2 linked regions of the Caenorhabditis elegans genome follow. The protein of the gene in region 2 purifies or fractionates together with the protein of the main gene of each other region. This does not show direct contact. Each region holds a gene or a part of one and is shown on either strand. Other genes may lie near its edges.

Region 1 (7,461 bases), on a different chromosome or scaffold from region 2:
CCTCGCCAACATTTGGAACGAATGAAGCGATTGTATTGATAGCCTGAAAAGTGATTTGAGATATTTTTGAAGCAACTTTCTACAGAATTTTGATTTTAATCAGAATCAAGAAATTATCTTTTTCTCTAAATCAAATTTGTCTTGATCAGAAACTCCGCAATGTGGAGTGATATCCCCAGCGATAGCCTCTCCAATATCATGTACAAGAGCCATCTTCACAGTCCGAATTGCATCTAATCCATCAATTTGTCCTTCCAGTGCCATTGCGAGTACAGCCATTCGATACATGTGGCAGGCTACAGTTTCTGGTTCAGGAACTCCACATTTTACCCAGCCGGTTCGCTTGAGATGTTTCAAATTGTCAAGAACATCTAGCAATTCGAAGATTTTAACAGAAGACATCTGTGTGGAAATATGGCTTAATTGTAATAGAATCTTATAATATCTACGAGGTATTCAATAATTCGACTGAACAGCTAAAAAAGGTGACACTGAGAAAACGTTAAAGAAAATATTATGCAATTTAAGACGCGTTTATAATTTAATAGTCTAAAACTCTCCAGAAAGGTCTCAAGACTCAATACATACACAAAAGTATGAAATGAAATATAAATTGAAAAGAGAAATGAAAATTGGAGCGGAGTCGGCAAACGGGTGGAGCTTGAACTGGTTTGATGGTGTTCACAGGAAAGTGGGTATATATGCAACGGCAAAAGATAATGAACGGGGACACAATACAAAGGGATAGCCGGATTGATTTTAATTTAAAAAAAGTGAACTGGGAAAAAAGGTTAAACTATTACTAGGAAATAACGGAGTGTAGATTGAGACTTAGACGTTCTTAATTGAACCAGAAGAGTTATGGGATGTTTGGGGCAAGTTTAAAGAGAGAGAAATGGAAATTGAGAGAAAAGAAATAGGCCCGAATGAAAACAGGAAGAGAGCTTAACACGGGGAAAACATTGAGAAAAGATCTCGACACGAAAATTTGTTGGTTGCGGAAAACTTGGCAAAAACGATATGATTATATTGAAAGGATAGGCTGTTCTTACAGTAAAAAGATTAAAAAGTAGTTGATAATTACACAAGAACGAGGTGCATGAAGCGCGGAATAACAATAATACGAAAATAATTAAAAATTGAACGAAGGTTTTAGAAATTGAATACTTGTGGAGCAAAAGTGATTGAACCATTTGGATGATTGATGATGATAAATAAGAAATCCGTTTTTAATGACATCTGAAAATCAATGAATTGATTGTTAAATAACAGAAGCAAATCTTACCGTTTATATGATAGATCAATCAGTTTTCGTTTTGTTTGAAGATACCGGAGGCTTGTCAAAATCTTTCATAGAATTTGATGGGAAGCGGTGTACAACAGTCTTGTCCTTCACATACACCTGCGAACTGGATGAAGCCGAATTAGAAGAAGACACAGATGTTGTTGCTTCGCCTCGAACCGATTTACTCTTTTTCAAGGCTATAGCTGACTCAATATCAGCAACTATCCCACGAACTCGATTATCTCTCATTTCCACTTCATTTCGTCGTGCCGCTTCTTCGATCACCTTCTCGGTTCTCATTCTAGCGACTTTCTCGGCTATCATATCAGTTCTCGGATCCCTTGGTCTCAAGTTAAAAGAATTGGGAGAACTTTCGAAAGCCGGATTAATCGGCTGTGGTTGTTCCCGAACAACAATTTGAACAGCTTGAACCATGAAGAAACAATCTTTGAATCGATTTCCTTCAGTTTCCGGAATCGTGAGATTCACCGTGACATTCACTTGCTTGGACTTTGTCTCTAAATTATCTAAAAAATTGCGTAAATTTTCAGGGAAATGGAAACTTACTTGAAATAATTGGAGGCAAATTGTAAGCATATATGATTCCATTATGTTCAAATGAGAAGAATGGTTCCAGAATTTCTCGGCGATCGACGTTTCCGTCTCCAAAGCTAATTCTGAAATAAATTCAATTATTTTATGAAGGTTCCTCATATGATTAACATACGAAACAGATTCTCCAAGTAGTTTAATCGGTCGGCAGCCTTTTAAATCATCTTTGTATTCAACACGAACACCTCCACTTGCAATACGCTTCTTCTCTTTCGCAGCAATTCTTTCAGCAGTTGCAAGAGCATCAGTAACCATCGGAACTCGAACAATATGTGGGAAATTGGCAGGCATTGTAGTGTCAAATCGATTGTATTGACAAGGTATGAGGAAGAGAACCTGACAAATGTGAATATTTATAGTTTTAAGATAATTCGAAAAGAAAAAGACTTACCACTGGCTCTTCTTCGAATTCACTTCTCTCGATCACCATTTGGAATGATTTCTGAAAGAATTTCGAATAAAATTTATTTGTAGTATTTCAGAGTTATATAGAGTTATAGAGTTATAATAATTTCCAAAACTATTCTTAAAACAAAAAATTTAGACTAAATAGTTTTTTTTTTAATTTTCATACAAACCTTAACAAATGTACGATTTTGTACAACCACCAATCTATCTAGAATGTCTTGTCCGATGCGAACTTGATGAAGACCTGATTTTACAGAATGTACACCCAGCTTGACTCGTCCATCGGCGTCAATAATAATGGCTTCAACCCATGAAACAAACGAGTTGTTCAGAGCCCTCAAACGTTGATTGATAAATTCTCGTGCTTTGTACGAAATGCTTTTTGCTTGATAATCATGATATTCGGAGAGCTCTTTGTTCTGAAAAAATATTATGATTGCTTTTAATATCAATTTTAAATCTAGAAATTTATAGGTAAGTACTTCAAAAGTGTTGATATTTTTGATAAACATTTAAAAAAATACCGCTGCCTGTCGAGGTGTTCTTGGCTGAACATGATTCAGTGACAACGATCCTCCAATATCAGCTCCATGCCACATCAATTGTCGAGCAATCAGACTAGTGTGTCTTCGGATAGCTAATGCAACTGGAGATTTATGAAGATCATTCAGCTCATTTAGTGGAGCTCCGTTACGCAGAAGAACATCGACTTGGCACGGTGAACCTGTCATTGCAGCGAAATGAAGAAGTGTATTTCCACCAGAAAATTTGTGACTCAAATGTATATTCTTGTTGGCGGTCGTATGTATCAAGAAGTGAAGTATTGAGCATTTCCGATGCTTGTCTTCGTAACATGGTTTCTCTCCAGGACATGTTGAGGCAAGATGCATTAAAATTGAGCAGGCACGTTCCTCAGTCACATCGTCTTCAAACTTTTCGAGAAATAAATTAGTGCTCCAGTCAAGAGTTTGGGTCACAACATATGTGATACGAGCTTGACGAGAAAGAGAATCGAATCGTGGAAAACAATCACTGAATACATAGTTTTGTTTCCGACGAACGATGATTCGTTCAATTTCTCCAAATCGAAGAAGAACTTGTCGCAAATCGAGATCTCTCAGTGCAATAATCATATTCTTTTGAAATTCATCATCCGTATTTTCGATCATATTTTCAAGGGCTTTCTTGTGATCCATCATAATGGCAACATAGGTTTCATCTTGAGAAGTTTGATCCATGTCTGCATTGGAAACAAAATCACTCCGCCAATTGATTATTTTTGCTCCAGATTTCACGTAATCTGTGTATTGGTACTTCATAAATGGTTTTGCACCATTAATCGTCAAGGTGTGAGGCTCTGGATCTGGAATTCCCGATGCTGCTATACCGTATCCCATCCGATGAAGTGGTTTCAGTGCAGCTGGAAGGCCGGTGTAATTTCCACTGAAAAACAAAAATTATTTAAGATTATGAACAACTTGATTTCTTACATTGTATTAACGTTCCGTAAATATCTCATTTGAGAATTTTTATGTAGATCAGTGTAATGCATTGGAGGACCAAGTTCATCTTCATGGCGCAAATACGGAATGGCTACCGTATCCTGTCCGAGCATACTTTGAGCAGCTGCATTCGTTCCTCGAACCACCATTTCTCCATCTCGAACATTATCACCGGACCATTCATTGAAGTGATGAACATGAAGATTATTTCGCTCTTTTTCAACAACATATTCTATCGGATTTTTCGTGCGTTCTTTTTGACCTGGATAGATTGGCGCTGGTGCTCCGGAAATCTCGAATTCTTTCCTTTCGAGCTCTTTTCTTTGTTTCTTTGTCAATTGTTTTTGTTTGAAGTTGTTCTTCGCAGTCTTTCCATTTTGTTTTGAACTGCTACACGACGGCTGCAATTTTTTAAAATTAAGCTCTTTCTGACACCTGGTTCAAAAAATTATTTTCAATTCCTACCTGAGCAGGTTCTCTATTCGGATAGCTTCCAGAAGTTGATGGACCATCATCTCTTTCTTGATCCGAGATAGGAACTATGTGAGTGAATTCTGTGATTGGAACACCATGTACATTGTCGACAATTCGCACCGGTCTGTTCTTTGCATTTTCATCCATCAATTTCCGCATTTCTTCTGTTCTATCTCTAATTCTCACGGAGCAATTATTTCCCAAATCGGGGTGGCTGCTGCTGCTCCCTTGTACATTATCACCGCCAGTCATTGTACCTTTCTCGTGTTCTGAAATTTGGTTATGTTTATTCAGAAGAAATGGTAAAATTTGGAAAACGGAAATTTCCGAGGCGTCCATAGTGCGCAGAAAAAGCGAGGAGTTTTTCGTTTCGCTATTGATCAATTTCAAAAATTGGGCGTGATCAACCAATCAGAGCCTGCGAAATGTTAAGTTGAGCAATGTGAAAGCGAGTAAACTGTTCTCCGCACTATGGACGCCGCATGAAATTCTCGTTTTCAGCAAACTATTTGACAATTTTCGCGGTACCTCTTTTCCGAATTTTTTTTTCGAGGACTAATTTTCTTGATCTACTTCTACAAAAACAAGTTTCTTAAAGTTAATTTTTGTAGATCAAAAATAAATATTGCGCTGAAACAGGAGTTTGAATTGTCCGAAATTTTTTAAAAACTATCAATTGCGAAATCCCTCGCATTTCAAATATTTATTTCTGATGTTTTCTCATCGATGAAATCAATCGCTTTTGAGAGTGAACAGCTTCCTCCAAACAATAAATCCTACCAAATCCAATGGATCCGTCGCTATCTCCAGATTGCGATGATTGATCCGATGAGCTTCCTGATGTTTCGGAAGATGAAGAAGACGAGCCTCCACTTGAATCCACAATCGAATTCTTTCTTTTAATGACGATTTCTACTTCTTGTCCACTACTTCCTTCCTTTTTTTGCTTAGATTTTTTATCCTTTGGCATTGAACCCAACTGAAAAGACTGTTGCTTTTGACAGCCTCTGCAACAAATTGAGTGTGTGTGAGCTAAACTGTGATATACGAAATAAATATGGATGTGCGTATATGAGTGATAGAACCAGAAGACACTCACACTTCGCTCACAGACAAACACTCACCGAAGAGAAAAAGAGAATTAAAAATGGAGAGCGTGGAGGGGACGGCACGTTCGAAACGAGACGAGGGGCCCGCTAACAGAAGTGTAGGAAGAAAACAACTCACGGTGGCAGATAGAAATAACGAGAGATGGCGCCAGAGAAGTAGAGTGCAAATTTGCGACAAGATTTGGGGTGTGAGATTATTGAGCAACAATTTTATGATCCAACATTCAGAATAACTCGATTTGTTTTTCCATAAATTCAAAAAAGGCAATTTTTTAATTAATCTGACCCTCGTTCGGGAGGTCTAGAAATAACGACCTAAAAATACAAATTAAACGATTTTAAAGTTTCAGTTCAGTATATCCATTGAAATTTTAAATCATAAATTATTCAGTTTTTGAAATTTACCTTGCCTTTTTTTAATTTTGTGATTTCTATCTTTTTAATAAATATAATAGGACTATCGAAATCCAAACGAGCACAAAAAAAAATTTATAAGCAAAAAAGCATGAAGAAAATCTTATTCGTGTAGATCACAACGGTAGATAAAAAGGAAAAAAAGGACAAATTTTGTGACTTTGTCAAGGGAATGAAAGAAACAGGAACAAATGGAATTTGTAAAATTGGGAAAGCGAAGACAGAGAAAAAACAAAAGCATAAATACAAAGATTTTCAGAACATTTCCGTCGCTCACCGACAAAAAATCGTTCCAGACACGACGACCATTGTGCAGCCGGCTCTGCACAAACGTCGAATTCGACGAGCAATTGCGGACAAAGGAACGACTCTTTGTCGATTTACGAGAGATGAGAAGTTTCTTGAAATGTTATTTTAAAAATTACAGAAATTAAGGAAAAAATTAATGAAAAGAATTGGAAGATTAAATAATCATTGTCTTTCTAGACATCAGTTACTTTTTCGACGATAATAATATCGTTTTTGATTTGTTTTGCGTGGACTCGAGAAGAATCAGTTCGAGAAGGACGTTCTGGAGTAGACTGAAGATTTTTTTGGAAATGGATTGGCGAGATTGGAGAGGATAGTGACATCGGTGGTAATGGGATAGGCAACATCATCGGCATTGGTGGGAGCGAGTGAGGCTCACGGCTGGAAATATAAAATTAGTATTTAGCGATATTGAATTAGTAAATTACATGAATACCTGAAATGTGGTGATGGTGGAAAGAAGAATTGCGGTGGAGGAATAGGAGGACGACGGGCAATTCTCGGAGGAATGAATGTAGAAAGTGTTTTTCTGAAATAACGATTTAATATTCGATAACTACTTAAATTCTTACTCTTTATAATCATAATCTCTCGGAAATGTTTCATGTTTAAAATCAAGTCCTTCATTTTTCCTTTTTTTCTTCATTGAAAAAGTCGAAGATGTGAGCATACTTGCAACAATTCTTATCTTCCTCGTTTCCCTTCGTTCCTTATTTTTTCTTCTATTCAACGTTTGCACTAGCTTCGCACTCTCAGAAGCGTCTGAATATTCCCCTTCCGAGGATGATTGTGATGACATCTCAGTCCAGTGAGCTGCTTCTTCTGACTCAATGTCTCGGTACGGTTCAATTTTCGGAGGTAAATTCGGATATCGATCAGGAATCTTGACACCCATCTCTAAAAGAACCGAACCAGCGAGAGCATAAGTCAAATCAATGTATTGGTGAGGAGCCAATGTTCTGATCATTTCAATGTAGATGTGAGGTGGAGGAAGTGGTTGAAAATCAGCGGGACAAAAACGTTGGGCTCGTCTTTCCAATGAAGACGTGCTCGGAGACTTTGCCTGAAAATGATAATTACGATATCGAATTTCTGAATAACCTTACGGTTTTCGCTTGAGCTGCTCTTTTGACTTCGTCGAACGCATTGAACGATACGGCGTTACTTGCAGCAATCATCATGGAAGGAAGAGGTGGTGGTGGAAATGGAGGAAAAGCTCCCCGTTCACCGCGCTTATATTCTAACTTGAGCATTAGAAGCCTGTGATACCACTCCTTATGAGAATCAATTTCGTTTGGTGTGACGACTGGACGAAATTCACACTTTTCCTCATTTTCACCTTCATTTT
Region 2 (5,066 bases):
CCAAATTTAGCTGGCTAAGTCTTGAAAATCCTAGGTAATATTTTTGGGCCAATCTTGAGTAAGAAAATGGCGCCGAGAAATCACAAAAATTATTATAATAGAAGACATCGAATTTAACCAAAAACCTCAGAATCCGTTGGAAAGAACAATCTCATGAAAAGTCCCGAGCCAGCTGCTTCCTCAATCATAAGATCCATGCATCCGACTTTAAATTGCCCAGGCATCTTACGAGTAAGTATTTGAGGTGATGAGAGGTATCCACCCATGTTTTATCTGCAATTTTCAGTTTCTCTGTCAGTAGCGTGGCATCAACTTACAGTCAATTTTTAAGTTTCCTAGAGAAAATAAATTTGAAACGTTTGATGAAAATATTGTGAAATAATTTGTATCCAAGACATTGGACGGAAGTTTAAATAATGCCTCACGGTTTAAAACAATGTTTTTTTCAATAATTCTGACTGATTTTCTAAAATTTCTTTTAAAAAATAATTTTTGAGGCAATTCAAGTATTTTTTTTTCCATTTGAGAAACTAGTGAAAATGACAACTTTATCACACAAAAATAGGCTGTTAAATGAAAATTATCCCAGTGGCATCTTATCGTAGTCAATGATGTGCAGACTTCTTCTTTCCAGATTTGACAGGTTGCTCCAATGGAGGTGTTCCAATACTATCCCTCCTTTCCTTTCTATTTCTTCGATTTTTCTGCTGCCTCAACTTCAACTTCTCCTGTAATGCCATTGCTTGTTTCTCCCTCTGCAGATTATTCCGTCTTTCAAATTGTTTTCTCGTTTCATCATACTCATCCAACTTCTGCTTCACATCTCCAAATAATGCATCTTTCGAGGGCAGCGGAGCCAATTTGTTCAACGGTGTTACGATGTGCCCATCGGATTTTCCCAGGTCCAAAATTCCTTGAACATCCGCTTCCTTCAACTTCTCCACGTCTCGAAGAGCTTGTCGTTCCAGCTCTTTCAATTCTCGCTCCAGTTCATCATCTGCCACGTCATCATAATCAATTTTCATGTCGATATCAAGTTGTGCCTTGGCCTTAATATGAGTACAGTTTAGTTTTGTAATCCTTCAATTATTTTAAGCCAACACTTACCAATTTTTTCATCAAAGTAAGTCTCTCTTCTCTCAATGCCTTCTGTTTCTTAATCAACTCATTGTTTGCTTGATCCAAATCTTTTCGAATTGTATCATTTATCACTTTATCAAACCATTGAATCAAAGCGGCTACTTTTTGTTGAGTCTCTTGGAATACTTTTAGAGCCTGAAATAACTTCAATCACAAAGTTTTAACAATTTTCGTATTTTTCCTATTAGATATTCGTATTTTTTCAGTTGATAATTTCTTGATAAAACTAACGAGAGCCGAGATGTAAGCTGTTAAAGTAAGGCAAGGAAATGCAAGTCTAATAGAAAAGATTAAAAAATCTACCTTTTTCATTTCAGAATCATTATCCACATTGCGAAAAGCCTTGTTAACAGTATCTTCGAGGAGGGCAATCTCTTTTTCAGTTCCGTACGGAAAATCAACTTTGTTCAAGTACATTCGACAAGATTGAACGTTCTGCGCGGCTGCCACAAAGTTGTTCCGAGCTTCTGCAGCGGCGAAATAACGACCTCTTTCGTTTCTTAAAGTTACAGGTGATTATTTTGGTAGGTGGCCTTGTGTGTGCACATTAAAACATACTCTTTCTCAATTTTCTGAACATCTTGCCATCGATTGATTCCAAAAGTGAGTTGAGTGAGAGCATGGACAAGTAGAACTCTTCCATTTGCCCATTTGAACATGGCAAGGGAAACTCGCTGCTGCCAATCTACCATATCATCCACCTAAAAGAGCAAATTAAAGGTGAGCAGCCAAGTATTCTTCAAAAAACCGAATTTCTTAATGAGACCTCTTGAAAATTTCACAACAATTTTTTTTAATTTTCAAGAAAAAGGCAGAATTTTTGAGAGAATCTGCGGCCCTGATGGACATATCACAAGTTAACTGTAAAGGGTAATTTTTATTTTTGTCAGGAATGAAGTCGATTTCCAAGCCAATGGAATTAAAACAAGACGGCTTACCTCTCCTTCCAGAACATTTTCCTTTTCCGAAGCATAATCTGTTCCAAATATCGCTTCCAACATCTTATCCTGCTCTTCATATAATGCATTTAAATTGTCTGTTTGTTGCTTATAAATTTCTTGAATTTTGACAGCATTATCATAGTTAACTCTTGCAATGTTCAACTCTTTCTGAACTGTTTCCTGTCGAACCATTGCATCCTCGTATTCAGCTTTTTCTTTTAAATATCTATCATCCCATTGTCCTTGTTGTTTCAAATAATCTCTAACGGAAGGTTGTTCAATATTTTTGAGATCTGTTTTCTCTCGTTCTCTAAAATTATTAACTTTTTCTTCGGAAGTTCCAGTGGAAATTCGATATAATCAATAATAAATAATAAATTCATACGTCTGTTTCTTCAACTCTTTCAAAACTGCCTCCAACTGTTCAACTGTATTCTTCAAATTGTCTGCATAAATTGTTTGCGACTCAAACTTCTTCAAAACATTCTTCCGTTCCAAGCGATTTATGGCTTTCTCAATGTTGATATAATCCTGGAACAAAACACATTTTCTCTCAAGTCTTTTTTAAGAACTTACCTGAACAACTCCCTCTGTCAATTTCAGCTTTCCACCTTTCGGAACGGCATCAGATTCATTCGACGGAGTCACTTTGGCATTTCGTTTTCCAGTTCCTTTTTGTTTTGGTGTTTCACCTTTTGCTTCATCGTCACGAGACTTTCTTTCCACTGGATCAGCCCATTTTTCAACTGGTCCCGGTTTTTCCTCAAAATTTATATAGTTCTAAAAAGTCTCAAAAATTTCCTCAACAATTTCTAGTTGATATTCCAGGAAATTTTTCTTAAAGTTTTTCTTTCAAGTTTGTCATAAAAATAAGTGTGAACAAGTGGAAGCAGTTCTAAAAATTTTAAAATTTACCTTCCGAATGTCCTCCACCGGATCCGATCGCTTGGATGGTGAAGAGCCCATAATCAGCAAAAAAAAATAAAATACACCTTCAACTATTCAATTTGCTTGTTGTGTTCTTTTTGTGCATCTCCCAAAAAAGGTGGAGACATTCTCGGAGCCATGGAGATGTGCATGAAACCTAGGAGACGCCCAGCGACGGGCACATGAGGGTCCACAAGAAAAGGAAAAACTTTATGAATACGTCATAATACATATACATTTATATGAATGATATATACATTCGGATGTAAAGGAAATACTTTGCAGACATATTACATTTCTCACGAAAGTTCAATATTGGAGTGTTTAGGGGTGTTGAAAAATCAATCATTGAAAACCATTAACAAGGCCGCTTTGATCATCCTGGCTTCATATGTAACATTACATTTAACTTTTGATTCTCCAGCTTGCTCAAATAAGTCATCTGGAACCGTGTAAATATTACGTCCAGGAACTTCACAGCTGGTTAGAAATTGAATAACTTCCATGACAACTGAATCTCTCATCACCAACAAATTCTTCGCCATGAGCTCAATAGCAGCCACTATACATCTTTTTGCGTAGTACCATGTATCGACTCCCAGCTTCTTCTCAGGCGGTTCTAGTGCCTTGACGACGCGGGAAATTCCGAATTCAAAGTTACCCTGAAAGATGGAACAAATTAAAATATGAAAATGCACGCGTTTAACAAAATCCCCCCACCTTACTACAGTACAAACTTCCAATAACCAAACTAATTATGGAATTATGGAAGAACTTCTCATTAGGCTTCATCATTAACGCAGCTTCCTCTTCATTTTCTACAGCTTTCAGAATAAGTTCAGCTTCATCGGTTTGATTCGTCATAATGTAGCAAACAACTAAGTTGGCAAGAATCATGGCAGGAACTTCCAAAATCTAAAATAAAAATTTTTAACTGAGATTTCCAAATAAGCTCTTACTCCATCGTCATATTTCTTATGAACAATTGGTTCATAAAATGCAGCAGCGTCTTTATATTTCTTTTCCTGCATGAAGATTGTGTGAGCCACATTCAATTTCCAAGTGTCATGCTCTTTACAGTAGTCCACGGAATTCCTTCAAAAAATGTCGCTAGGTAGGCAAAAAAAAGCCAACCTTTGTTAATGGGGTTTTGTTAAAGCTTTAATTAAAGTTCAAAACATCCAAATATCATAATGAAACACTCTAAAAATTTTCAGCCAACGTTTTGATAGATTGCCAATTTTTCAACAAAAAGAAGACATTTTTGAGTAACTTACAGCAATGTCGTATTTTCGAGCCTAATTAATGTTTAGATTTGAAAAAAATGTTAAACAAAATTAAAAATAAAACTCGTATAAAATATTGTTTTTATCGGCCCATTTTTACAAGCCTTTTACCTGAAAAGCTTCTCAACTGCTTGATAATCTCTTTTGTCCCAATAGTATTTGGCGTAGGTCATCAGTACAGGAAGGTACATTTCCAGTGAATCATCGTAGGATTCAATAAGATTTCTCATTTCTAAAGAATCATCGCTGTCCGTAGTTTTCTGCTCCTTTTTTATTTGAATTTCAATTGCAGTTTTCCGGAGTCGATCGAGACATTCTTTTTCAAGTTTCTCTAACTTCTTCAAACTTTCTTCTGGGTTGGTTGGCATGTAGATCAGAGCTTCGAGAAGGTTGAATTGATACTTGAATATAGTTATATTAAATTAAACTATAACTACTGCAAACCTCATTAAGACAATAAAAAGTGTGACTTGGATTTTCAGCAAGTACGTCTGCCGCTAAGCCGAAATAATCATTCTTGCAATAAAGAAACAAAAGATTTGCAAACGTTTCTTGTGGAAATGGATTGATACCGAGTAGAAATTGAAGCTTAGCCGAGCTGTCTCCAAAATCACTGTTTGCATTGCTAATTGCCTGAAATTTACAGATTTGGGGTTATTAAAAATGTTTTTAGGGATTTTGGCTAAATGTACTGAAAATTCACCAATTAGAAGTATATTTATCTAGTTGCAACACTCTAAAAGGTGTTAGAATCTTCAATATTTTGGCACAT

The links. Proteins that work in one complex are often made in the same cells at the same time.
Region 1: the proteins of cil-7 (region 2) and F45F2.10 fractionate together in Caenorhabditis elegans (co-fractionation; one large-scale study listed by BioGRID). This does not show direct contact.

The regions. Positions count from the first base shown.
Region 1 is NC_003283.11:8,513,060-8,520,520, forward strand, and holds F45F2.10 (ANK_REP_REGION domain-containing protein), read right to left. Parts: upstream 5,706-7,461; 5' UTR 5,509-5,705; intron 5,289-5,508; 5' UTR 5,252-5,288; coding exon 5,062-5,251; intron 4,551-5,061; coding exon 4,273-4,550; intron 4,209-4,272; coding exon 3,796-4,208; intron 3,749-3,795; coding exon 2,830-3,748; intron 2,725-2,829; coding exon 2,476-2,724; intron 2,340-2,475; coding exon 2,289-2,339; intron 2,234-2,288; coding exon 2,013-2,233; intron 1,963-2,012; coding exon 1,853-1,962; intron 1,813-1,852; coding exon 1,301-1,812; 3' UTR 1,286-1,300; intron 1,240-1,285; 3' UTR 514-1,239; downstream 1-513. Other genes in the region: F45F2.9 (5'-deoxynucleotidase HDDC2), read right to left, coding at 1-43, 118-402; F45F2.11 (Protein kinase domain-containing protein), read right to left, coding at 6,287-6,494, 6,550-6,642, 6,686-7,176, 7,220-7,461.
Region 2 is NC_003279.8:4,986,351-4,991,416, forward strand, and holds cil-7 (CILiary localization), read right to left. Parts: upstream 3,105-5,066; 5' UTR 3,048-3,104; coding exon 2,997-3,047; intron 2,844-2,996; coding exon 2,658-2,843; intron 2,613-2,657; coding exon 2,467-2,612; intron 2,392-2,466; coding exon 2,079-2,391; intron 1,842-2,078; coding exon 1,699-1,841; intron 1,640-1,698; coding exon 1,444-1,639; intron 1,276-1,443; coding exon 1,108-1,275; intron 1,050-1,107; coding exon 606-1,049; 3' UTR 539-605; downstream 1-538. Other genes in the region: paf-1 (1-alkyl-2-acetylglycerophosphocholine esterase), read right to left, coding at 126-266; dyf-1 (Tetratricopeptide repeat protein 30 homolog), read right to left, coding at 3,350-3,670, 3,729-3,923, 3,968-4,103, 4,406-4,695, 4,739-4,927.